Linked DNA regions of Mus musculus. The protein of the gene in region 2 interacts with the protein of the main gene of each other region in a biochemical or structural test. Links are inferred from orthologs where the notes say so. Each region holds a gene or a part of one and is shown on either strand. Other genes may lie near its edges.

Evidence for each region.
Region 1: the proteins of Abl1 (region 2) and Crkl form a complex in vitro, tested with the Homo sapiens proteins (4 studies listed by BioGRID and IntAct, with this or other methods). The link is inferred for Mus musculus from reciprocal best matches to the Homo sapiens genes ABL1 and CRKL.
Region 3: of the proteins of Abl1 (region 2) and Atm, one has a biochemical effect on the other in vitro, tested with the Homo sapiens proteins (3 studies listed by BioGRID and IntAct, with this or other methods). The link is inferred for Mus musculus from reciprocal best matches to the Homo sapiens genes ABL1 and ATM.
Region 4: the proteins of Abl1 (region 2) and Erbb4 form a complex in vitro, tested with the Homo sapiens proteins (2 studies listed by BioGRID and IntAct, with this or other methods). The link is inferred for Mus musculus from reciprocal best matches to the Homo sapiens genes ABL1 and ERBB4.
Region 5: the proteins of Abl1 (region 2) and Erbb3 form a complex in vitro, tested with the Homo sapiens proteins (2 studies listed by BioGRID and IntAct, with this or other methods). The link is inferred for Mus musculus from reciprocal best matches to the Homo sapiens genes ABL1 and ERBB3.
Region 6: of the proteins of Abl1 (region 2) and Rin1, one has a biochemical effect on the other in vitro, tested with the Homo sapiens proteins (2 studies listed by BioGRID and IntAct, with this or other methods). The link is inferred for Mus musculus from reciprocal best matches to the Homo sapiens genes ABL1 and RIN1.
Region 7: the proteins of Abl1 (region 2) and Xpo1 interact in a test that uses a peptide from one of them, tested with the Homo sapiens proteins (2 studies listed by BioGRID). The link is inferred for Mus musculus from reciprocal best matches to the Homo sapiens genes ABL1 and XPO1.

Annotation. Positions count from the first base shown.
Region 1 is NC_000082.6:17,482,985-17,485,462, reverse strand, and holds part of Crkl (crk-like protein), read right to left. Parts: intron 1,803-2,478; coding exon 1,668-1,802; 3' UTR 1-1,667. UniProt on the Homo sapiens protein: May mediate the transduction of intracellular signals.
Region 2 is NC_000068.7:31,758,520-31,762,738, reverse strand, and holds the start of Abl1 (tyrosine-protein kinase ABL1), read right to left. Parts: upstream 2,801-4,219; 5' UTR 2,703-2,800; coding exon 2,624-2,702; intron 2,567-2,623; exon of another isoform or gene 2,348-2,566; coding exon of another isoform or gene 2,284-2,347; intron 1-2,283. UniProt on the Homo sapiens protein: Non-receptor tyrosine-protein kinase that plays a role in many key processes linked to cell growth and survival such as cytoskeleton remodeling in response to extracellular stimuli, cell motility and adhesion, receptor endocytosis, autophagy, DNA damage response and apoptosis.
Region 3 is NC_000075.6:53,439,647-53,442,671, forward strand, and holds part of Atm (serine-protein kinase ATM), read right to left. Parts: intron 2,876-3,025; coding exon 2,761-2,875; intron 2,092-2,760; coding exon 2,028-2,091; intron 522-2,027; coding exon 385-521; intron 284-384; coding exon 100-283; 3' UTR 1-99.
Region 4 is NC_000067.6:68,072,560-68,076,059, forward strand, and holds part of Erbb4 (receptor tyrosine-protein kinase erbB-4 precursor), read right to left. Parts: intron 3,006-3,500; coding exon 2,859-3,005; intron 637-2,858; coding exon 539-636; intron 1-538. UniProt on the Homo sapiens protein: Tyrosine-protein kinase that plays an essential role as cell surface receptor for neuregulins and EGF family members and regulates development of the heart, the central nervous system and the mammary gland, gene transcription, cell proliferation, differentiation, migration and apoptosis.
Region 5 is NC_000076.6:128,586,836-128,591,102, forward strand, and holds the start of Erbb3 (receptor tyrosine-protein kinase erbB-3 precursor), read right to left. Parts: upstream 2,801-4,267; 5' UTR 2,667-2,800; coding exon 2,585-2,666; intron 1-2,584. UniProt on the Homo sapiens protein: Tyrosine-protein kinase that plays an essential role as cell surface receptor for neuregulins.
Region 6 is NC_000085.6:5,049,447-5,053,658, reverse strand, and holds the start of Rin1 (ras and Rab interactor 1), read right to left. Parts: upstream 2,801-4,212; coding exon 2,718-2,800; intron 2,586-2,717; coding exon 2,405-2,585; intron 2,306-2,404; coding exon 2,191-2,305; intron 2,102-2,190; coding exon 2,029-2,101; intron 1,919-2,028; coding exon 1,827-1,918; intron 1,684-1,826; coding exon 943-1,683; intron 690-942; coding exon 384-689; intron 61-383; coding exon 1-60. UniProt on the Homo sapiens protein: Ras effector protein, which may serve as an inhibitory modulator of neuronal plasticity in aversive memory formation. Can affect Ras signaling at different levels. First, by competing with RAF1 protein for binding to activated Ras.
Region 7 is NC_000077.6:23,290,541-23,294,040, reverse strand, and holds part of Xpo1 (exportin-1), read right to left. Parts: intron 2,579-3,500; coding exon 2,410-2,578; intron 270-2,409; coding exon 135-269; intron 53-134; coding exon 1-52. UniProt on the Homo sapiens protein: Mediates the nuclear export of cellular proteins (cargos) bearing a leucine-rich nuclear export signal (NES) and of RNAs.

The DNA.
Region 1 (2,478 bases), on a different chromosome or scaffold from region 2:
TTCCTAGAACCCACAGAGTAACTCCACAGTTCCAGAGGATCCAACCAACACCCTTTTCTGGCCTCCTAACAAACTACCCATGTGATACACATACATACATGTAGTGGAAACACCCATATACAGTTTTTTTTGGGGGGAGGTCTGAGGGGGGGATTGGGCCATCTTCTGATACAAGGTATGTATGTAGGCCTGCCTGTCCTGTGACACACTACATAGATCAGGATAGCCTTGAACTCTCAGAGATCCACTTGCCTTTGCCTTTCTGAGTACTGGGATTAAAGGTGTGTCCACCATGCCCAACATAAACAAAAATTTAAAGTCTTTAAGAGAAATAAATATAGTGGACAAAGGGTTTTGTTGGTTTTGTCACCTGAATATGTTCCATTAGTTCTCAAAGCCTCAGGCCTGCAGAACCAGGGCCATGGTTACAGAAGATATTCTGTAAATGCTAGAGCTGCTCACTAGCCACTACTCCATCTCTAGGTCTGCTACGTTCGTTCTGTGTGGAGGTGTATCCTCATCAGGGTCCAACTGAAAAGAGTGCACTCTAGAAAGGTTCTAGAGCTCTGGTTTGCCATGTGTGGATGAGGGATCAGACACATATCTGTAGTAGCTGACATGCAAGGAAAAATGGCTCATGATCGAGGGGCGTCTTCTTTTGCTCAGAAGCACTGTATTCTGGTTCTACTCAGGCTGTGGAACCAGAACAGACACCACTCTCAAGCTGCCTGGACAAGCTAGGTCAGTACAGGAAGGGCTGGGTGGCCTCTGTGGTGGAACACAGCAATGCAATTTAACTCACGGATCTAGTAAGCCCACAGACTTCAAACGTTTTCACTGAAGAGGCCCACCCTGTCTGCTCCTGTCAGAGGCAGCGATGACAGCAGGCCCACCCCCACCTTGGTGCTTCACAGCAAGGTACACCATGACTGCTGCTGTGCACTGTTTGCCACATGGTAAACAAGGTACTGTGGCAACCAAAAGATAAAGGCCCCTGGAGGGGGTCTTTTCCTATTTTAGTTACGTACAGTGGCTTCAGTTTGGAAGCTCAGAGACATGGATTGTTCCTTAGACCATCATAGACCAACCTACTATTTAAAAATCTGTTCAGAACACACAACTATAATTAATTAGTCTTCCAAAAAACAAAACTAAACAAAAGAAAATGAAAACCAGCCAGACTTGAGGAGTTCGGGACAGAATTGTCTGGAGTTTTACTTCCTCTGTCGTCCAAAGAAAACTGAGTTGGTGGCAAAACCACTGTTCTGTGGACCAGCAAAGCGAGACCTTGCCAAGCCTCACCGTCTCCATGCAGACCATCAGCAGGCTTGCTTGCTCTCTCTGTCAGCCTCCAGTACAAACAAGGCAGTGATGGATGGGAAGGAAGAGCTGCTCTGGGTTCCAGTCTCTACTGTGTGCTTCCACCAGTGTTTCCAGTTCACAATCCACAAGAACTCTAAATCAGCTACTCTTTGACAGCATGACTATGATACAAATGCCGAGCCAGCGAGCAAGGCAGCTGCTGAGGCATTCCGTATGTGCAGGGACTGCCAATGTATGGAAAGCTGACCGCCAGCAGCTCGGTGTAACTTGCATGTGACAGAGTGCTTCCCACTTCAAAGGAGACTGACAGGCAGAAGGAGGCAGCAGCAGGGACAGCACAGCAATCACTCGTTGTCATCGGGGTTCTGAGGGTCAAAGATTTTAACATGTGTGAAGGGGAAAAGCCCCTTGCGCCCATTCACCTCGCCTTCCCATTGGCCATTGATATTCATCCTTGTGACTTTCACAATGTCACCAACCTGTAAGGGAAGAGGGAAAGAAAACAAAATTAGCATCACTACAAACAAGGAAGACAGTTTACATTAAATCACAAACACTGTCTATACAAAAATCAAGTAGTACAAAGACACGAGATGCCACCAACCACCCAGGATACCTGTCGCTGGCAAAAACTCAGGAAGCAGCCTCTGAACACAGAGCAGCCACTCCCTCCAGCGTTACTAATAAATGGACATGTATGAGCATCCAACTCTAAGAACGTGCATGTTAAGCTGAATAAAAGGGTAAGAAGTGCGGACTGGTGGCACATACCTTCAATCCCAGTCTTTGGGAGGCAGAGGCAGGCAGATCTCTGAGTCAGCCTCATGGACAGAGCGAGTTCCAGGACAGCCAATGGCTTACACAGAGCAACCCTGTCTTGGGAGGAAAGTGGGAAGTAGCCAGGTGTGGTGCTTATAATCCCCACAGACAACACACAGGAGGCTAAGAGGACCTTCAGTTTGAGACCAGCACGGACTTAATAAAACCATCTTGCTCTGACAGTATATTTATGTAAAACTGAAATGATACAGAGATAATTAGCATGACCCCTGCACAAATGTGTTAAAGCATTTCATACTAAAAGACCACTACAGCAAACAAAAACAATCTAGAGCTGGTGAGAAGTTCCGTGGGAGAAGGCGTTGAAGTGCTTGC
Region 2 (4,219 bases):
TTCAGAATTTTCTTACAAGTATTTTTATGTTTGCTTAAAAAATGTTCCTGGTCCTGTTGCTTTATGAAAGCAGGTGTATTACTATTACCTGATGCAGAAAGGAAAAGACTGGTACAGTTTAGGCCCTAGCTGGGCATTTCTAAAGACAGTATTGAATGATCCATAGTGTTTTCCACGGGAGAACAATGCCACGGCAGACCAATGATCCATTATTAGCACAGACAGGCTAAGAATGGGCTTTCTGGGCCAGGTGCTGGGGTGCAAGCCTGAAATCCTAGGTGCTCAGCAGGCTGAGGCAAGAAAATGCCAAGTGCAAAGCCTGTCTCTTTACGTTTACAGATTATTGAGTTCACAGCCTGACTGGACAACTTGGCAAGTCCGTCTCAAAATTCAAAAGTTGGCAAGGGCCTATGGGTGTAGTTCAAGGCCCTGGCTTCCAATACCCAACATTCATTCTCTCTCTCTCTCTCTCTCTCTCTCTCTCTCTCTCTCTCTCTCTCTCCCTCCCTCCCTCTCTCTCTCTCTCTCCACCCCCTCTCCCCCTTTCTCTCTCTCTGTGCAATTCCCTGGAGCCAGATAGCACAAGTTCAAATCCTGGGACTACCACCTGCTGATTCTGTCATCTCAGAGATGTCACCTAACCTTTTTTGGTGCCTCAGTTTCTTATCTACAAGATGAGATAATCAGGGCCACCATAAGAAGTCAGAAAGTGAGGGCATGTGGAATGCAGACAATGCTTGGCCCACTAAGGCCATCTAACTGCTGCTGCTGTCTGTGCTGACCAGGCCTTCTCTGCACAGCAGCAGGGAGCATGCATTTGGTAATAATGGAAAATTCACCATACTCAATTCTCTTCCTGGCCTGTGAGGCCCAGGCCTCTGGGTGGGTGTCATGAACTGATTGATTGATTTAGGATGTAAGCAAGAAATGAAGGCCCAGATTACTTCCCCAGATTCTGGCAACAGCTCTCTTCCCCAGAGACAGACAGCACTTCCGTCTTCAAGACATAATTACACCGAGGCTAGCTTGATTCCGTCAGCTACACAACAAGAATTCCGTCTACCTTTTTGAACTCAGTGAACAGAAAGAGCTCCTAGAGAGACACCTTCCTGGAGAAGGCCTACAAAACCCAAGTGAGGACAGCACTCCTTTGGAACTTGGCAATGCTAGAATTCACCTTAAGGATTATGCTGGAATAAGAATGGATTTTTTCCCCCTTCTAAAACAAGAATTAAACCAACAGCTCTGCACTAAATCCCACATTACCCCAGGAACAAGCTGATACCTTAGCAAAGCTGTGACATGCCCCAACTCTGCAGTTACAAAAGTCCATTCATCTCCGCCTCCAGCGGCTCAAAATGGAGATAGTGCCTCTCACTAACTGGATACAGATGGGGAGGAGAAATGTGCGGAGAGTGTGGAGCAACTTGGAAAAAATAAGCAACGCATTAACTGAGGATGATTCTGGCCGCTCAGATGCCAACTCTGGGGACAAATAAACCATCTCCCTCCCTCTAAGTGGTAGGCCCTGAGCTCATGCCATCCACACCAAGCTCCTCTCAGGAATCCAGGCCCTGAAATCCCCGGAGGGGCTGAAATCTTACTGTGACTTATAGCGAAGTCCCTTATACTCCCTTCTAGCAAAGGGAGAACATCCTCTACCCGAGCTGGGCACCTAAGTCTGAGCTGGGTCATGTGGGGCCCTGTAGGTCTTTGAGTCAAAGACTTGGAAGGGGGGTCGGGGAAGCAGGTTAGATATTGAAAAGCCTTCAATTCTTTACAATTCAAAACAGTAGAAATCCAAATTGCTCTGAAGAAAACTTTACATTTTTACTCCTATCTTAACTCTTACATGAAACAGCCAGAAAAGCCAGGGCACCACACATCTGTGAGTGCTTCTGCCCTTCTGAAGAAGGCAGCAGTCCCCACAAAGGTCAGCTATACTCTAACAGGCCTGGCCACAGCCGAGTCCCCAGCACTCACCACTCACCCTTTTCCCTTGCCATCCTTTTAGACCCAAACACTAAAGACAACAGGAAGGAGGCATGGAATTGGAGGAGCAGGGTAAAGCAGGCAAAAGCAACAGGCTCCTGGCTCTAAGTTTATGCAAAGAACAAAACATGAGGGGCTCCCTCACCAAGCATCAAACTGGAAGCTCTCAAAACTCCTGGAAATACAAGCAAAACCATTCTTTCTCTTCTAAAAAGAGACAATCCCCAAGACCTCTTCATGGTCTGCAGAAAGGTGGGGGTGGGGGTGGAAAGTTCACATGAAATTCTGTACCCATAAATGGTAGAGCGGGATCCCTTTGTACGCGGCACTTGGTGTAGGTCCACCTTTGTGACATACAATTCCCAGTTGGCAGTGGAAACACCACAACGTGGGCTCACAAGGACCTTAAGGCCTGTGGCACTGACTTTTTCAAACTTTCTGGGCAGGAGCCACACTATGCGCTTGGGCCCCGCCAGCGCCAAAGCCGCGGCTCTCTCTCTCTTTCTGGAAGTCCGAATGAGCCACCAGCACCCGCAGAGGCCTCAGAGGGAGAAGACTGGGGACCTAGAACACACAGGGCACGGGCGGGCAGGACAGTCCTGGTGGGCCCCGCGCCCAGGCCAGGATTTACCTTCCAGGTAGCAGCTGGAGGACGAAGAGAGCCCCTTCTTGGATTTGCAGCCCACCAACTTCAAACAGATCTCCAACATGGTCCCGTGGCCACGGCGAAGGCCCCACCACCCCGGGCCCCCAGCCCCGCCAGGCCGCGCTCCCAGCAGGCCCGCGCCCAGGCCCGCGTCCCGCCTCCCGCCTCCCGCCTAGGCCGGTAACAAAGGGCCCAGCGCCCCGCCCCAGCCGTCCCTTAACCCCTTCCAGGCCAAGGGAAGGCTCCACGCCCTCCCCAGCTGCGTAGCTGCGCTGGCGTAGCCCCTGCCCCTGCCGCGTGTCCGGGAAGGTCGGTGGAAATGCAAATTCCTCTCAAGTTACCAGGACTGGTCTCGGGGAGCGACTGTGATTAAACCTAAAGTGGGTATCTGAGGAATGTGAACAGTCAGGGCTGGAACCCACAGGAATACCGAATACCGGACGCGGGTCCAACCACCCATTTAGACCTGGAGTTGTGAGTTTAAGCTTAGGGAAATGTCTCTATGGTGCGTGTTCATTGTGGGCTGGAATGGCGGTCCTTCCTGACCTCATTTTTACAAGAATTTCCCCTGTTTTTGGTGCCACAGGTAATGTTTGAATCCATTTCACGGTGAGTTTTTGTTTTCCTAAACGCTAGCTCGAGGTTACCAACAAGATTTTAACTAAGCAATGGTCACAGCAGTGGACTACTGGCACTAAGTTGGTGGGAAACAAGGACCCCAACTACAACAAATCTAATAAAAACTCACCCAAGTTCCAATGACAAGGGAAAAATAAACTTATGAAATAATGTCACATAACTAAAAGTCTGGTCCCCATCCTTGCACTTGAAGAGCTGACTGTCCCAGGATGGTTCTCTGAGAAGTGCTCCATGTGCCTTGGTACCCAGAGGGTGCGTGCACCTAATCCTGTGAGGAAAGTTATATCATGACCCAGATTCTTCATGTGAGAACAGACACTCCAGAAGGTCACATGGTGGAAACCAGAAGACTCAACTCAGTCAGGGTCTGCCTGGTTCCAAAGTTTGGTCTCTTGGCTTCTAAGCAGACTGTACCGGATAGCTAGATCCATGACAAAAGTTATCACCTGCCGGGCGTGGTGGCCCACGCCTTTAATCCCAGCACTCAGAAGGCAGAGGCAGGTGGATCTCTGAGTTCGAGGCCAGCCTGGTCTACAGAGTGAGTTCCAGGACAGCCAGGGCTATACAGAGAAACCCTGTCTCGAAAAGCAAAAGAAAAAAAAAAAAAAAACAGTGCCATGACTGTGCCTGTGACAGGCCTCTCAGCCAGGATGTCACACACTTTTCGTGCTAATCAACCCAAAAATGTGTCTGTGCCAAAAATGTGTCTGAAGCCAAGTGGACCTACTTTGCTGCCAGAACAGGCCTCACAAGTACCCAGGGGACTTTCAGAACTCACGCCATTCAATCTCCTGGAGAAAAGGACCAGAGTGCCCAGGAGGCAAGGGTACCAACTGGATACTTTCCTGATCCTGGGAGACCATTTTCTGTGAGAGCCCACATGCTGACTAGCGCTGTCTTGATCCTGCCAACCTCTCCATGATTCCATGATGCCGACCGTAA
Region 3 (3,025 bases), on a different chromosome or scaffold from region 2:
GTAGAAAATTGGATCAAAAGCAGTTATTCACTTAAGTAATTCCTGTCCAAATATGGTGGGTGAGATGTCATTTCTGAAGTTCGAGTTTAAGGGTGAAGGTCACACCCAAGCTTTCCATCCTGGGAAGAGTCGGCTGAGATTTTTGGGATCCATGGCCTGCTGGATAAGCAAGTTCACCTGTCCACCCACACTGAGCACAGTGCCTTCCTCCACGCCTTTCAGTTTCTCTTGCAGTCTCATCAAGACACGCTCAGCTACTTTGTTGAAACTCTGGTCAGTATCACTAATGATAAAAGAACACAAAGATTACAATGAGGTGCAACCATGGAGGGCCTGGGAACAAGAAAATCTAAGTAACAACAGGTCCTTCCTGAAATATCCCACCTAAGACTTTGTTTGCATTCTTGATCATCTGCATTGGGGGTGGAATGGAGGTCGGACTCATCTTCTGGTCTCTGCTGTAGATACAGAGCTTTTAAAGGATTCATAGTCCAATCAAAGAGTGGATCGTACAAAAGAACCTAAATAGAAAAAACAAAACAGCGTGCCTTTTAATTATGTAGTTAAAAACAATAGTAACCACATCATGAAGTAATACTAGTCACAACCAACAGTGAACAGGTAACTGTTTGAAGGAAAAACAACTGGCTGTCAGAAATTTGGACTGATTTACCGAAGGCAATACAGAATTCTGTGTGTGTGTGGCTGGTCGGTGGGGTGGGGGTGGGGATGGTTCTAAAGTGATACAGGCATCGTAGGTGGAGACAGAAATAATTTCTCAGTTGCAGTCCCCTCACTCAGACCACTGCGGCAGACTGTTTATTGAGTCATCTAAAAGACACAGCTCGGCTCTTGTTATCACGGACTTAATAGTGCCAGTGAGATATGAATGGCTCTTAACCGTGCCTGCACAGGAAGAGTCATCTACAAAACACAGGGTCCTGCTGCATCCCTAGGAATCTGGTCTGAACACAGTTAACACCTACTCTTTAGAAACAGTGCAGACGACACTGTGCGCAGCCAGTCAGGCCTGCACTCTACTTCCTGCATGTATTTCCCTGTGCAGGAAACAGCTGAGCTCTTATTTCACACACCCTTACCAGGTTGCAGATGACTGCCAGCACCACACAATTCATTAATTCTTGGGAAGAATTAATGTTGCAAGCGTTGCAGACTTTCTTCCCTCTCTGTCTTGGGTCAAGCTGAAATGACGAACTGGATTTAAACCTGTACACAGCCACAGCTCCATTCAGGTGAGTTGTCCCAAAGCAACTAGGCCCGGCAGGAGCCTCAGCAGCAAATCTCCCTCTTCAGTTACGCTTGCCACTAACAAGACTGATACTCTGATTTCTATCTAAACTAGCTCTGAGATTTGTAGGGAAAGTGATACTTATTACTGATTTTTCTTCACGGAAACCAATCTCAAACTATCCAAGAGGCATACAGACATATCTATATGTGTACGCACATAATCGCGTGCACACGTGCGTGCGTGTGTAAACCAGAGGTTAATGCCAGGTGCTTTCTTCAACCACCTTTCTTCTTTATTTTTTGAGACAGTGTCTATCATTGAATGGAAACTCACTGATTTGGCTAGCCTTGCTGGCCAAGAGTCCCAGAGGTTGCCCCAGCTCTGCGTCCCCAGTGCTGGGACTATAAGCATGCACCACTAGGCCAGGTTTTGACATGGGTTCTGGGGATCCAAACTCAGGTCCTCATGCTGGTGGGGCAAGCACTTTGCCAGCTGAGTCATCTTCAGGCCCACGTGGGATGTCTAAGATGCCAAAGTGCTCATTAATTTCGTAAAGATTGGAGATTACTTAACAATGTATGATATTTCCAAGAAACATGAGGGGACTAGAGCCATTTCCAACCCCAGACTCTGATGTATGAAGGTGCTCACTGTTCCCCTTTCTGCTGCTGCCCGAGACCCACTCTACATGAAATACAGCAATGCTCTTCAGATGAGTGACTCTCTATGAGCAGGCCGATGGCAAAGGAATGCAGATGCCCTGTGCACGCTTTACCTCTACAATGGTCAGCAGGGTTTCCTGAGAACTCCGCATAACTTCCATCGTTTTTTCACAGCACCTGCGAGGGGAAACATTACAGGTATGGATTCTGTAGACGCTGGTATTTCAGCCCTTCTTTGCCTATATGCACTTAGGAATACATACTTAGAGGATTCTTGCTAGCAATTCCCCATATTGTATTTCAAAGAGCAGGACCGCTAAGACATTTAAGAGATGCTCCAGAAATTGATATAAATATATACAGATGCACGTGTGTGTGTGTGTGTGTGTGTGTGTGTGTGTGTGTGTGTGTGTCTCCTAAGCTCAGCACTTACAAGGAAGACAGTACTCCTATGAAATACTCATTGTCTTGATTACTGAGGCGAGTATTAATTTACTTTGCCGAGCTGAGATTGTGGACCTTTACTGGGGGAACTACAAGGACTGGAAGTTATACCCAGCCAAACATGATATAGAAACATGTTTTTTTTCAGACAAAATAACCACCACCTTTTTAATACCCCCAACCATGAGCATCAATAAGACAGCAAAAGACCAGAGTGAGTCAGCTAAGACTGAGTAACAGCATAAAAGTGGGCCTCTTCCAGAGGAGGTCAGGTATGACCACACGATGTCATGCTGAATTAACACCAAGGTGGCCCGTGCCAAGGGTCTCTGTGCATCATCTCTTTAAATCTACTAGCTGAATAGTTCTGATAGCAAACACTGCATGCTTTCCCTCCCTTACCTTCTGAAGACACCTTCCACACCGGTGATGCCCATCCCGTCCACAATATCTCTGCTGAGTCTAAAAGGAACTGTTTCTGGAGTGGGAAGGATCTTCCCCTGTTCAAAAGCCACTCCTAAAATAAAAGAGACGTGAGGCAAGCGAGTCTGACGGGCTGACACGCTGTCTCTGTAAGTCCATGCTAACTCTGGAAAGGCAGCCAACCATCTGGTACTCATGCTCTATTAGTCCTGGATGATTGAAAAAATACATAATCCTGTTGTTG
Region 4 (3,500 bases), on a different chromosome or scaffold from region 2:
ATTCGTTTAAATTGAGTTATTGCTTAGATACTATGCACCTCGCCTGATAAAACAATCCACATGTACTTTTTAAATTAACATATGAACGTACAGATTTTGTTATAGTGTTATGATAGAAAGGACATACATACATTATTTTGGTTTATCATCTTCTGGTACTCCTCTCCTCTGGCTGTTTAGCCCTTTCCTTCTGAAATAGTCTTTCCATTTCTCTGTCATATGTATTCTATTAGCCTCTTTTGTAGTTTACCTTTCCCTTGAAACCTTTTTCCTTTCTAATCATCTCTTCCTAGTTTTGTGGCCTATACCATGTATATGTGTATATGTATGCATGTGGGTTATGCATATGAGAGAGAACATATAGCATTTGCTTTTCTGAGCCTGCTTTGTCTCATAGACATATATAGAACCATATTCAGTTTCATGACTTCACAAGTTCTTTCACATGGTCACTTTATTGCTGGATGTTTTCAAAGTTGCAAAGTTTAAATAGAGTTTGTTATTAGAGACTCTTAAAAGCAACATCAAAATAACTAACCTGAATAACTAGGTATCTTTGAGGGTCTCTAGCCATTCTTGAAAACTCAGCAGCCAGTTCTTTGAATTTAGGTCTGCTGTCAGCATCGATCATCCAACCTGGAGATTAATACACAGTAAAATATTAGTGTATGTAATAATTAGTAAAGTTGAAGTTTGGGGAAATATGGGGATATATATATATGTATATATATATATGCAAAACAAAACTAGAGAAAGAAGTGAACTATGCTGTAACTCAATTAATTGACATTTGTCACAAAATGCAATATACTATAAATAACATTTTTTAAATTCAATTATTTTTAATTGTTTCTATGTGTGGGTATGGGCATATGAGGGCAGGTACACAGAAGCCAGAAAAGGGCATTGGATCCCCTGAAGTTGGAGTTGCAGGTGATTGTGAATCGCCTGACGTAGGCATTGAAAGCTAAATTTGTGTTTTCTGCAAGAGCAACAAAAGCTCCTAACTGCTGACCCATCTTTACATGATCCCCAATTTTCATTCTGAGTCAAACTCAATTTTTTTTTAGCTTGGAAAATAGCTTTTAAGCTAACCATGGGAAATTTTAGAACCTCAGATTTTGTTGTTCTTGTTTTGGAGTGTTAAGATAATGTCCTTAAAGCATTCTTTGATGGCTGCAGAGATAGAAAATGAAGTTTCAGATCAAGAGTACATGGTAGGAAATATTTGCTTCTCATCATAGCACTGTAGTACAAAAGATTGAAAATGGGGAATTTGATAGCAACTCCTTTTGGCAGGTTTGTTCCTGTTTGGAAGGAAAATGGAACATGATTTATAATGTGTGTTCAACAATCCTCATTACATTTATCTTAGAATTAGCTTTCCCAGAATAAAAATACTAGTTTTCAAGGTAGGTAGTCTTCTTTAGCTGGGAGTTCAGAGAAAATGGATCTTAACTGCCTATGCTCTGTTTAGCTGATGAGATGACAAGAATAACAGCGCCCAGCTTGCTTTGATTTCCTTGCCAAATGATCCTTTTCTAAAGCATAAACTCTCCAGGGGAAGAGAGAAAAACAAAGGTGAAACATTGTATATGCTTTGTCTAATAAGGCAAAATGTTTGCCTGCCTTTCCGTCATCACATTGGGGTATTCAGATAACATCTGATGCTGGTTATAGGATCAAATTATCATATAACATAGGGATGTTTTTAAGCTCTCTCCCAGGTCATGGAGTAAACAAGGACTGATCTAATACAGAATTCTTCTATTCCTGGAGAGTTAATTTTTAATTCTTGTTTTGGAAATCCTTTGGGTATCATCTTATGCATCCTTTGTGTCACCTCTCTTAAGCTCAAGCACTCTGCACCTTATGGGTATTCGTTTCCAAAAAAAAAAAAATGCTTGTTAATACCAAGATGCTAATGACAAAGCTACTAGAGCCAAAAAAGGTTAACTTCAGCGTGAGATATTTGTTTCTCCCTAACTAAATATTGAGTAAATAGAACTATGCTTAGAGAAAAGGGCATGCTGACCTGCACTGCAAGGAACATTTTTTATTCCTTCTCTTCCTGTCAGAATAGATCACACATGTCATGAATATAAATATGAGAAGACCTGGGCCCAGAGTCTCAGAGTCTCTTATTAATAAAATGCTTATTCACCTTCACCACTTAGTGGCTTCCTTTAACCCTGTGTAAATCAAAACTGGAAAACCTCAGATTATACAAGAGAGATGGCTGCCAGTTAATCGCACTTAAATTAAGTCAGAAACCCCAGAGACTTTTTTAATTCTATTAAAATTAGGGGTCTAGGCTTTCAAAACACATTTATAATACATATGTGCCTGGAGTATAGAAGTGGAAAGAAAAGTAAGAACATTTGATGTAAGCAAATGACCAAATTAAAAAGAGTAAACATCTTAATCTTTACTTCGTTGTGGATTCGTCTCTTTTGACTCCCAACCTGCTCTGTTAACTTATGTTTAATTAAACCCATATCTACTTTAATTCATTTTCAGACTCTCAATGATGTTTAGCTATTTTCCCATAAAGATTAACATTAATATTATTACTAACATTCTTATGAATAATTATCTCTCTTTATGACAAACTTCAAAGGGTATGGAAATTTGAAAAATTGTAAGAGTAAGAACGACATAATTTTTACTTTGTAACTTAGTGGCATACTATTACCTCATAATAGTAATTACCACAACATGTATTTATATTCTGCATTCGTAAATATTCTTGCTACTCTATTTAACAATTCAGAGAAACATTTTGCAGGTAAAACAATCTAAACTTTTATTTATTAAGAATGATAATGCAGGCAGAAAGAGTGATTTTGCAGCCTTACATTTGACCATGACCATGTAAACATCAATAGTGCAGATGGGAGGCTGAGGCAGACGCTCTCCTTTCTCCAGTAAATCGGGGATTTCTCGGGTTGGAATTCCATCATAGGGCTTTCCTCCAAAGGTCATCAGTTCCCATATAGTGACGCCTAGTTGGAAATACAATTCTCACATAAGCAAATTACTGTCACAATTTGAATGAACACGTATCACGATGCACTTTTACAAAGCAAACAGTTGAAACTTAAAGAAGCTCCTTTCTGGTCTTTCACTCACTGCCAGGATTCCAATGCTAAACCTTCCGGAGACAAGTCACAGTAAGAATTCTTTCACCATTGTCTTGGTGATTTTAATGCATAGCAAGAAAGATTTATAATAGATGCCAGAATTTAAAGCAAGTCCTCCCATTTGTACCTAACGGCAATGCCAATGTTTACTGATGAAAATTGTTTCACATACACTAAAATCCAGAATACCATGCCTTTACTGTATGCATGTGTTTAATGCCAAATAAATGTAATTTCAGGAAAAGCCTGACATGGATTAATTTTTAAATTAGTCTCTTGGTAGGAAACGTCTTCATCAAAGGCAGAGGTGATCGGTTCAGATGGTTGCAGGTGGCTGTTGTTATGGTAAAGCCTTGT
Region 5 (4,267 bases), on a different chromosome or scaffold from region 2:
GACCTCACTGGAGGGAGAAACCCTGGTAGTGGGGTGGGGAGGTGGGGTCAATGGGAGCTTTGTCTTTAAAGCTGGATGATAAGGAACTGGTGGCCTCCCCTCTCCTAAACTCTGGTTTCCCTTCTCACTCCCTTCCCCTAAGCCAGCATGCTCCAGCTCCCCCGGCAGCAGGCATCCCTGTGCAGTCCCGAAGTGCTTTTCACCAAACAGAGAGGTCTGGAGAGAAGCAGAACAGAGCCTCCACTCCCAAGCCTTCTTCCCAATTTCACTGCCAGAAGGATTCTTTAAAGAGACTGCTAACATGGCAGTGCTCCCCAATAGACACTCCAGGGGAGAGAGCCCAAAAGAGAGGCCAGTACAGTACATTTCAGTTCTTGGGCTTTCACTTTCCTCCCTGGAGCTCTAAGTATCTTTCCTCTGGCGCAGTAAGAGCACGTGGGGAGGGTGGGGGTAAGGGGTACACCACCAACCACCTGTTCTAACCACCCTTCCCTGAGGCGGGGCAGGAGGCAGAGAGCGAGTCAGAGGCCTCAGCTTCTCCTGTTAGATCTATGTCTGGTCTGACCCCTTCTTCTAGATCCTCTTCCTTATCCTTTCTTCATATGATGGAAGGAGTGGGCCAGTTCCAGCAAGGAGGCATAAACAAGCTAGACTCTCCTAGAGAAATCTGGGAGCTCCAGGGTCCTTGGGGTGAAATAAACGCCTGGGAAGGTTAGTCATTTCTGGAAGTGCCCCACCCCTGTCCCCTTCCTGGCAGGACACCCCTCTTCCAAGTTAAGGTGCCAACCCTTCTCCTCAGATAGGGGAGGAGCTAAGATATCTGCATAGGGAAATGATGTGTACCTGTGCGTGCATGCTGGCACACAAACACGTACACAGTTACTCTGGTGCAGAAATATATATTGTTTGCCCCTGGGGCCCCGAGTTGGGAAGTTTTACAAGTGTCCAGTCCATCCCACCTGCCCACAATGCCTTGCACACTTTGTGTCTTGTGCTTTGCAAGGCCCTACAGGTCTGTCTCGGTTACCTGCCACCCTTAGGGTAAAGTCCACATTTCACAAACAGGGGCAAAGGGCCTGGGTAGGACGGGAGTATAAACAACTACCCAGGAGGAACCAGGCAACTTGGGGCGCACAGGAAGCAGCGAGAACTGCGGGTGGGTGTGGGGTGGACCACACTCACAGAGGAGCAAAGGCTCAAAGTCAGAACCTTTCTCTGTGGAGAGCATTGACTGCGCAGACCAAGAACCTCCAGCCCTCAGAAGCCCCAGCCACACACACAAGGGGACAAAGGGGCTATACAAGGCTTGAGACAGGGCCGGATGCCCAGAGGCTCAGGATGGAGATAAAGGATAGAGAACTAAACATGCCTGCTCCCTGCCTCTTGAGGAGGGTGGTGGGAATCTTGGACTCTTGGGTTCCTGGTTGGTGGGGGCACAGTCAGATGGGACAGTGATCCAGTCACTCCCCTGGCCCCTCCCACTTCAGTCTCCAGACCACCCCCTCCACCAGCTGGGAGTGTTCACATCTCAAGATCCCAGGGGCTAAATTTAGGCCCAGCAACTGTGGGGGAAGCACAGGTGGTTTCTCCCACTCCCACTCTGGGGAAGGGGCAATGAATGTGCCAACCCCAAACTGAGATCTGGGGATCTGGGAAAGGGGAAAGATCAACAGGACTCTAATGATACCAATTCTAGTGCTCTTCAAGTGTCCATAGTCCCAGAGACACGGAACAGGCTCAGATGGCATTGAATGGGGGAAGGGCAGAAGTTGGGTCTAGGAGCCAGTTCACAGAGTAGAATGTTCAGAAGGTGGGAGAGGTGGCCTTAGATTGGAGAGAGAAAGAGGTCTGATTGTCCTTTCTTCCAGAGCTCCAGCTTAGGGTATATAACCTGGAAATAGTATAGTATGTAATAGATGCCCAACATGTTCACTGAATTAACCTGGGTCTTGATAAAGAGAAGTTGGTTAAGTTGGGGACCGGTTTATCTTATGGGAAAGCAGGCAGTCAGCCTCTGTGAGACCTCTCACTGATGTCACCTGGACTTGGCCCTCAGGTTAATCTCAGCCTTCTCAGGACAGCCCCACTCACGGAAGAGGAGGTGCCATTCTTGTTTTTCCAACATTAGAAAACAACAACTTCAAACCCTTGCATAGCCCCGCCCTGTCGGCAAAACAACGAAACTGGGGGTTGTTGAAACCTGGAATGGGGTGGGGGCCAGGGAACCTGAGAGCAAACGGAGACCCTTTCAAGCCAAGGCTCCTTACGTTTACAGAAGGGTCCCTGCCCACCCTCCTCCCAAGACTCTCAAGTGTGAACTACTGTTCGGCACCAACCAGATCAGAATAAAACCAATTAGAGGGTCGGCGACGCCCTGGGAATAAGGGTAGGCATACAGGAATGCAGTCCCTGACCAGCCCACTCCAAGAACTGAGGCACACGGTCCCCTCCTTGGTGGTCCGAGCAGACCCTGTACCGCACCCCCCAGTTCAAAGCGTCAGAACCCAAACTCCTTGCCCAGGGTCTGCGAGCGCTCAGATTGCGCCCCCAGCTTCCAGCCTGCTGGGGCTCCCGCGCGGCTTACCTGCCTGAGAGTTGCCCATCTCGGAACCCCGGGCCAGGCTGAGAAGGAAACCCAGCACCTGCAGAGTCCCAATCGCACTCATGATTACAGTGGAGGGTGAAGGGAGCCCAGCCGAGTCTGGCCCGGGGCCCCCAAGATTAGGAGGACATCCAGGCGACAGCCACCTGAACAGCCAGCGATTAGGTGGCCGCGGCGGCAGCGGAGGTTGCAAACTGCAACCGGAGCCGTAGTCGGAGTCCGGAGCGGGACGGCAGGGGAGGGTGTCTGTCTGGGAGGGAGGGAGGAAGGGAGGGAGGGAGGGAGTGAAGGGGGAAAGGGGTGAGTCACGGCCGCGCCCCCTCCCGTGCGAGGCTGGAGTCCTGATGGTTGTAGCCCGAGACACCCGCCCAAGCGTGCCCCGCCAGCCCACAGCTTGGCCAAGAGGGTCAAGGAGGGGTCTCACTCCAGCAATTTCCCCCGGAGATGGTTAAGAGGAGATCAAGATTCCAAACGTCCCCAGGCGGGGGAAAGGTAGTGAATGCGCGTAGGGAGAGCGCTCCGAAGCCCAGCCCCCAGAAAGCTGGCCTCGCCCATTAACCAAATCACTCAACTCCCCTAGCCGGTTGGATCACTTGAGGGATTTTTTTTTTCTTTCGGAGTGTGAGTATTTCTATTTTTTCGAGTGGGAGGTTGTTTTTCAGCCTAGCGTTCATGCCACCTCAGTTTCCCCGGGACGCAAAGCCCCGTAACTCATGTACCCAGCTCGGGAACCCGAGCCCCGGAGGCTGCGTGAAATCGCACTGTCTCCGGCCGCTTCCTCCTGCAGACCCGGCGCCGGCTCGGCCTCTCGGGGGGATTTGCCTGGGGGGCGGGGGCGGTTTCCAGCCTGGGAACAGACCCCGGAGTCCGCCTTCCCACTTCTGCCCGGGGAGGGGCTCCCGCACCTGTCGCCGTCCCCTCTGCTGCCCCCCACGGCCTCCCGAGAGAACAGCTGTCTCTGAGGGACCGACCGCGCCGTCCGGACGGCCGCGGTTCCCGCCTCTCCTCCGCGGACCCCAAAGGGCACAGCAACGCTCACCCCGGAGGCGACAGCGAAGAGGGGCGCGGGGAAGTCACCGCACATGACCCCCGGGACCCTGGGTTGCTTCGTCCCGGACGGGTCCGACTGGCGCCCCCTGGTGCCCAACTCCTTACATTTCGCATCCCTTACATTGGCATTCCAAGATTTTGCCCTGAGAATTTATGGTCCCCTCCCCCTAGGCTAAGGCTATCAGCTACACTCCTTTCTTCTCTTTTGTTTATTTTTTGGTTTTGAGACAAGGTCTCATATAGTTCATATAGCTCAGGCTGGCCTCGAATATATTATATGGCTGAGACTGTTGGCTTCCACCTCCCAAGTACAGATGTGCGCCACCATATCCGGCTCTCCTGCTACAATTTTTAAAAAAATTTGTTATCATTCCTGTGTGTATGATCGTTCGCGCTATGATATGCGTATGGAAGCTGGAAGACAACTTTGGGGGAGTCGATTATCGCTTTCCACTTTTACCGGGGTTGTGAGATGGAACTCAAGTCAACAGGCTTTCTCTGCAAACCCATTTAGGTATCTGTAGAGGCCAGAAGAAGTCGTTGAATTCCTCGTAACTGGAGTTACAAATTATTGTGGGCTGCCATGTGGGTCTAACCCTGGTTCTTTGGAAGAAC
Region 6 (4,212 bases), on a different chromosome or scaffold from region 2:
CGCACTGGGCCAAAACAAGGCTCAGCAGAGGCAGGAACTCATCAGCACCTGCATTCTCTCCTGTGGAGACATGGAAGAAGGAGATTCCAGCCTCCTCAGAGGTCCAAAGGCTAGGGTCCAATCTCCATGCTAGACAGTGTGGCCCCTCCCCTACACCTGCTAAAGCCCTAAGTGACTAGGCGACAGACCAGGAGCATCATAGCAACCTCAGGGAAGGTTACAGGGCAGAAAGGCACTATTCTCTAGAGTTCCTGGGGTGGAGAGTGGGCTCCTTCTATCTTGTTTGCAGTTCTGGGGTTCTGGGACAGGCTCCCTGTGGAGGGAGGTGATGCGTGGTTTCTACTCAGAAAGAGTGGCACAGGGGAAGGTGGTGGGGGTCCTACCTGCCTGGCTCTTCAGGGCTGTGTATAGCAGCTTGCAGGCCTGCAGGAGCCACTTGACCTGGGCACTAGGTGAGTAGGCACGAAGGAGCTGCAGCAGCTTCTGGCGCACCTGTTCTGTCTCCACTGGGGAAGAAAGAGTCAGGTGGGACCCGAAGGCTCCAGGCCCCTGGGTCCGGGCCAGGCGGAAGCCCTCAGCTAGGCGGCCGAGGGAACCATCTGCGGAAAGCCGGCGCCGCAGGCGGGCAGCCAGAATGGGTCGAAGAGGCTTGAGAACAGAGCGATGCAGGGACTTCTCCAGGACCAATTCTGCCGGAGAAGAGGTGGTTGCAGTCAGGGGAAAGAAGCCCGGAAGAGCAGGAGGCCCTGGCCAAGACAGGAGGTAGGGAGAAAGGTGGGGATAGGGACGGGGAATTCAGTGCAACAGTAAGTGAGAAAGGGAGTGAGGGTGGGGCACAGGGAACGCAGCAGTCACTAGGCACCCAAGGCAAGGAGAGAGGAGGACAAAGGAGGATGGAGAGCCAGGGACATGAACCTGTGGAGGCCAGGGGTCGGGCCTTACCCAGCCGCTCTGGTGGTAGCAGCTTCTCAGGGCCCAGCTCTGCGCTCAGCATGGCCCGGGCCCGACTTAGGGCCTGGCGGATGCCCTGCAACTCCCGGGGCTCGGGACCAGCCCGAACCTGGGTCAGTAGGTCCTGCACTAGCTGACCCACGGCTGTGTATCGGTTTTGCATTAGCATTGTGGCTGCCCGGCCCACCTGCCTCTCTGGTGCCAGCAGAGAGCAGAAAGCAGAACTCATGGACCGAAGCAGAGGCCGCCGGTGCCTTGGGCGGCTTAGGCGTGGGGAGGTTGTAGGGCTTCCTGAAGAGCCCTCCTCCTCTGAGCTGCTGGGAGAGCAGCAGTCCACCTCCTGAAGGGAAGGTAGGGGAGGAAGACAAGGGCTGGCAGCACTTCCTGGCACACGATATCCCACTGAGCTCTCCCTCTGCAGCAGCTGTCGAGGGGGCAGTCTTTCCGTTTGGCTGGAAGATGTCCCTGGAAGCACCGGGACTGGGGGAGGCGGCACAGCAGGTGGAGACAGAGGGCTGGAGGTCTCGGTGGACACTCGCACTTTGAAACTCCTCTTGAATTTCTCTCGTTTGGTGGGGCCCAGATCCCCGGGGAAGAGGGGGTTGAAGAAGCAGAGGGCAGCACCAGTGCCCTGATCCAGCTCTTGAGGGGAGCGAGCCTTCAGCCGGGGTATGGGTGGGGCTTCCGAAGGCCTCTGTTGGTCCTTGGTGTTGAGTGAGGAGCTCCAGAACTCTAGCAATGAGAAACCAATGGGGGGGGGGGGTGCTCAGAGCTGGCTCTGCAGGGTGCCCACAAAGGAAAATCTTGATTGCTCTTCCTTCCCCCATTTGACCTCTGTGTGTCCATCTGTGTAACAGGCTGCAGGGTACCCTTACCCATGCCCAGATGGGAGATGGCCTCCAGCTCTTTGTGGGTGGCTGCCTGATGAATGGCTCTGGGGAGTCGGAGAGGGAGGAGAAGAATGTCCCTAAGGACAGAGCAAGGAGCAGTCAGGAGTGAGCGGGGTTCAGATGCAGAGGACAGGCAGTCCAGGGAAGCAGGCCCAGGGCTCAGCAGGTGCCCCCCAGGCAGGCTCACCTGGTACGGCAGTATCCACAGATGAGCTGCACCAGGTCCTGGAACATGAGCTCTGAGCCCTCCAAAGAGACACCTGAGAGACATTGGGAGTGAGGCTGTTCTCTGGGGACCTCCCTCCCCTGCCTGTCTTCCAGCCCCTGCCCTCCAGGCCACCCTCCTCACCGCCAGTACTCTCTTCGATATAGTGGCTGGAGACAAAAGAGGGGCCACTAGCTTCTGGCAGCCGCACACACAGAGCCTGGCACTGGCGAGTGTTAGATTTCCGCACCAGGAAGGTCTGTGAGTGAACGAGATTAGGAGGCTCTGGTCCTCCATGTCCAGGCTGGTTCCCTCCCATCCTTGGCGGGCTAGGCCTTGAGGAAAGGGAGAGACTCACCCCCGGAGGCTCTGTCCTCAGCACGTGCAGCGCGGCTGCAGCGTTGGCCCGCAGCTGTAACCACACAGGCCGGGTGATCAGCAGCCGCTCCCGAAGGCTCACAGTACGTGCTGGCTGTTGGGACCCGCCTGCCTGTACCCCTCTGGTATCAGGTGTGTCATACAGTGGGTCTGTAGATGGCCTGGGGGCAGACACCCAGACCTGGGGTGAACACGTCTTCCCATTCTGGGCTTCCCATCTATCCTGTCCTTGCCAGCTCCTCCTAGATCTGCCCTCACCCGATGCACCTGGCTGACCCCCCAACTTTACTAACTTTTCTTTCTGTTGGTGCCCAGGTACAAAGTTCAGGTTGGTGGCTCCCAGAGGGTGTGCTCCGGTCTCACCAGGGTCTTCCATGGCTGGGAGCTCCTTCGGCTTCTCCTGGGACTCAGGAAGACAATCCAACCCCCAAGGCACAGGCGTGCACATTCCTGGCGGTGAGTAACACTTCCTGAAGGCGGTTCGCCCTGTCACACCCCGCCAGTTAACTCTTGTATGTCCACTCCATGTAGCCAGTGTCCACTTCTTCTACTCTTAGACAGTCTTGAATGGCAGAGAAGCCCTCCATGCCAGTGTCATCATCAGGCCCCGGCTAAGGGAGGACCACCCCCACACAGCACCTCCTGCAGCCTCCTCACACTAGGCAGTGGGGGAGGGAGGGGTTAGGCTGGATCAGCCAAGTTCCCATAGACCCAAGCCACACCCCTGGGTCACCTTAAGAAGTCTGTGGTCACTGGCTCATCGGCTCCAGCCTTGCAAAGGGGGGGCGGGGGGGGGGGAAGGTCAGCCTTGTGGGAGAGCACCCCCTACTGGTTGCAGATGACTCATTCCTGAACCTAACTTGGGTTTTGTGATTTCAGGTTGCTATGGAGAAAGGATGCTGTGTCTCCATGGAAACTAAGCTCTTTGCTTAACTGAGGTTCTGGGGGTGGTTCTGACACTCACTGTTAACCAGAGGGGGAGTGTGGCTGTGAGGTCGACAGCACTTGGTGCTGCTGCTAGCTGCCTCCCACACACAGGCCCTGCTAGCTAGCCTGCCTTGCCAATCTGCCGAGTGTCTGGGGCAGGTGCAGACATGACCTGGCCTCCAGGCATGTCCAAAAGTCCCTTCACCACACAAGGCCATGTGCTTCTCTGGCTTGCCTGTGCCATGCGGCGCTTCCTGCTCTGGTCCCAACTTCCTCTCCCAGGCTTTTCTCTAAGTCACAAACTACAGGGACCCCAGCAAAGTCTGTCTTAGGTGCTCCCACAAAGCCTTGATTCCCTTTTAAGATACAGCAGCCACACATCAGCCACACCAAGGTCCCAGGTTAAATTTTATTCCAGTCTTTGGAATCTGAGAGGCAGACACCAGGAATAGCCCTGAGAAAGCCTGGGAAGCCGTCCTCTCCAGCGGCAGTCAGGGTGGACAAGGCCCAACATGTCTGCTTGAGAGTTCCTCCTACAGTTGGGCCTGGCTCAGTGGCTGAGGGCCAGGGTTCAAGGTCAGGAGGACTGCTGCTGTGACTCTGGATGAGGCCTGGTCTCTCTGTGGGGGGACGCTGAAGAAGTTATTCTTTGGGAGGGAGTGGGCTGGTCAGGGATGGAGACCACAGTCTTGCTTGGCCAGGTCGGCTTCAGGGCCACAGTTGTGCAGATCCCAAGGAGAGCAGAGGAGTCCAGGCCAGTGGTGGCAGAGGGTCAGGGGCCAGCAGCAACACTGAAGAGCTACTAGGCAACCCCCTGCCTTTGCAGAGAAATGTTAATCCTGCGTGAGGTACCAGCTGCTC
Region 7 (3,500 bases), on a different chromosome or scaffold from region 2:
TCTTCAACCAAATTAAACATATATGCAAGAATTGATGCATGCATTGTTAGACCTGTTGAACAGAGGAGACTTATTAAAAAATAAAAAGGAAACAAACAGAACACTTAAGTGATTTAGTGATTTTCAGCTCTTACCTGCAGTATGTGAAGTGTCTGTTACAACAGAGAAAATATGCTGAAGAATATCACAAAAATAAGTTTGATAAAAACTCTGTGCGGCAGCTTCCTCTTGTGCAACATTTTGTAAAAGTGTAAAAAGTATCTGTAAGCCTAAAGTTAACAATAAAAATTCATTACAAACTATTGGTGTACATAAAAACATATATACATCTAACACTTGGGAGGCAGAGGCAGGCAGATTTCTGAGTTCGAGGCCAGCCTGGTCTACAGAGTGAGTTCCAGGACAGCCAGGGCTATACAGAGAAACCCTGTCTCGAAAACAAACAAACAAACAAACAAAAAACCACAAACAAAAAACCAAACAACAAAAAAAATCTTGTTTTCTTTTCTCTTCATACTCTCTTTTTTGAGTGGGTGTGTTGTTTGTTTTGTTTGAGTGTGTGTGTCTGAACTGAGTGTGTAAGACCAGGATGGCCTCAATCTCAAACTCTGCCCTGCAGTGCTCATACTAAAGGCATGGGCCACCATGCCTAGTGAGCCACACCACTCCCATTTTTCTTGAATCTGTGTATTAACTTTAAATTAACAATGGAGCTCACAGACTCCAAAATATGCCACAAGCATCATAACACATAGTCAGATATGAGAACTAAGCAAAGACATGCGTGTTTTATTTACTCAGACAGAGTGTTGCCCTGTAAATTAGGTTAGCCTTAAGTGGGAAACATTATTTCACTTGAACTTCTCCAGGACTAGGATTAAGAGCATAAATAACCAAATCTGGTGTTTGTTTTGGCTATTTTAAACAAACATTTTAAACCATTTATTACCTAGAAATAAAGATAAACGTAACAGTACAGGTGAGAGAATTGTATGCCCCAACAAGAAGCCAGAGTATCACTAGAGTTGTATCAGTGGTTAAGGGCACTGCCGTTCTTCTGAAGGGAAGGTGGCTCACACACATTTTCTGTGGGCACCAGGCCTATGAGTGGTGCACTGACAGATATGCAGGCAAAATACTTAAACACACAATAACAAAGGTCTAAGATATAACTCAGTTGTACAAAGCCAACATGTCCAGAATTTAGAAAGTAGAGACAGAATGATCATTAAGTTGGAAGACTAGCCTGGAATACATGAGACCCTGTGTCAAAAAATAAATTGGAGCTGGAGAGGTGGCTCAGCAGCTTACAATGCTTTTTGCTGCTGCAAAGAATTGATTCCTAGCACCAATGTACTTCATGGCTCACAACTATATCCACAACCTTGGTTCAATGGCATCCACCACCCACTTCTGGCTTCCACAGGCTCCAGGCAAGAATATGGAGTAAAGACATTCATAAAAGCTAAACAATCATAAACACTGGTTCTCAACCTTTCAGTCCTGATCCTAAAGGTGTTGAATAACCCTTTCATAGGGGCAGCCTACGAGCCATGCAATTACCCATGGGTATCCAGACAGCAGGATTCCTACACATGGGAATTCCTACAGGGTCCCAGAGAAAGCAAGCCAAAATGCCCAGAAAAGAAAGTTGTCTCTCTTACAGTGGAGCATAGGTCAGTAAAGAGTAAATCCTGCCCTCAAGTTTATGTGTATGGATGCTTATACTCTGTCTGTGTACACACACACACACACACACACACACACACACACACACACATACTGTGTACATTGTGCCTGTGGAGGTCAGAAGAGTATAACAGACACATTGGAACCAGTAAGAAATCAAACCCAGGTTCCCAGGAACAGCAGCAAGCAAGCATACTTAGTCTTGCACATGCAAGCCATGACACACACCTCCACGCACAGGCAGAGATGAGATAGGGGCTAGAGAATTGATGAAAAACAAATCGCCAAATCAACACTGGGTGTAGTGACACACACATTTAATTCCACCATTTGGGAGGCAAATCTGAGTTCTAGGACAGCCCGGGCTATACAGGAAATCAAAAAAACAAAAAACAAACAAACAAACAAAAACAACCAACCAACCAAAAGAACAACAAAAAAAAGTTCTAACACCACACTGGTTTTTAAGATAGATACTAAGAGCTAATGGACAAAGAGCATATACAAAACTCATGAGCTCTATGAAGGATGATGAAACATGTCCCTACCAGATGCTAGAATGGCTCCATTTAAAAGTAATCAATTTTCACTGCTGAATTGACTCAGTATTTTAGAAATCCCTGAAAACTAGATGCTCATGCCTCCTCCCCCCCAAAATTAAACAGTTACTGAGACTTAAGTGTCTATTTCTGCTTTATCAAATAACTTAAATGTATTTACCTGTATCTGCAACATTCCTCATAGTATGTTTAAAAGCCCAAATAATAGAATCCAAAACCAGCTTGAACTGTGCAGGTGGAATAGCTAGGAATGCTGGGAAACAGTGAGAATTGACAGCTTGAAGTAATAAGAAAAAGTTTGTTCTGTGTTCTGGATACTCTTCAAAATCCTAAAATAAGAAAGAACACTGAAACATTTCAATGCCTTAAAAGAGGAAAAGTTTCTATTTGCATCTACCTTCAAAGTTTCCCCCAAAGGAAAGCCCAAATTTTAGGATTTGTTATCATTTCTTGTTATCATTGGTTTTCAAAGGCAGGATTTCTCTGGATAGCCATGGCTGTCCTGTCACTATGCTTTGTAGACCCAACTGGTTTAGAACTCAAGAGAAATCCACCACCTCCAGGCTAGAATTTATATTTTAAAGATTTAAGTACCATGCTCTGGAAATATTCACAAATCAGCAAACACAGCCATGCTTGTCATGAAACACCTACTCTCAGAAAGCCTGCTGAAGTCTGAGGCCAGTTTATGGTTGGCAAGAAAATGCTCTTGTCTCAAATCTACTCACCAAAGGTCTGGGTGTGTGTTTACATCACAACCCATCTGGAAAACTTTTTTTTAAAAAAGATTTATGTGCCTAGCAGTGGTGGCACACGCCTTTAATTCCAGTACTTGGGAGGCAGAGACAGGCTGATTTCTGAGTGCAAGGGCAGCCTAGTCTACAGAGTGAGTTCCAGGACAGCCTGAGCTATACAGAGAAACCCTGTCTCAAAAAAACAAACAGAGGATTTATGTATTTCATTTATGTGAGTACTCTGAGCATCAGACCCCAATACAGATGGTTATGAGCCACCATGCTCAGAACTGAACTGAGATCAGCCCAGGAGGAACTTTTAAATGCTACCACCCAATTTTATCCTGCTACATATTGAAACCAAAAAAACAAAAACAAAAACAGTAGACTATCTGCTATCCCCTAAATTTTAAAAGTTATCCCATACCGAGGTTCAGTCCAGATTTAATCCCCACCCCTTTCTTTTGTTGACCAAGCTGTTATATGTGTATGTCATATATAGACCAGAAACCTAGCT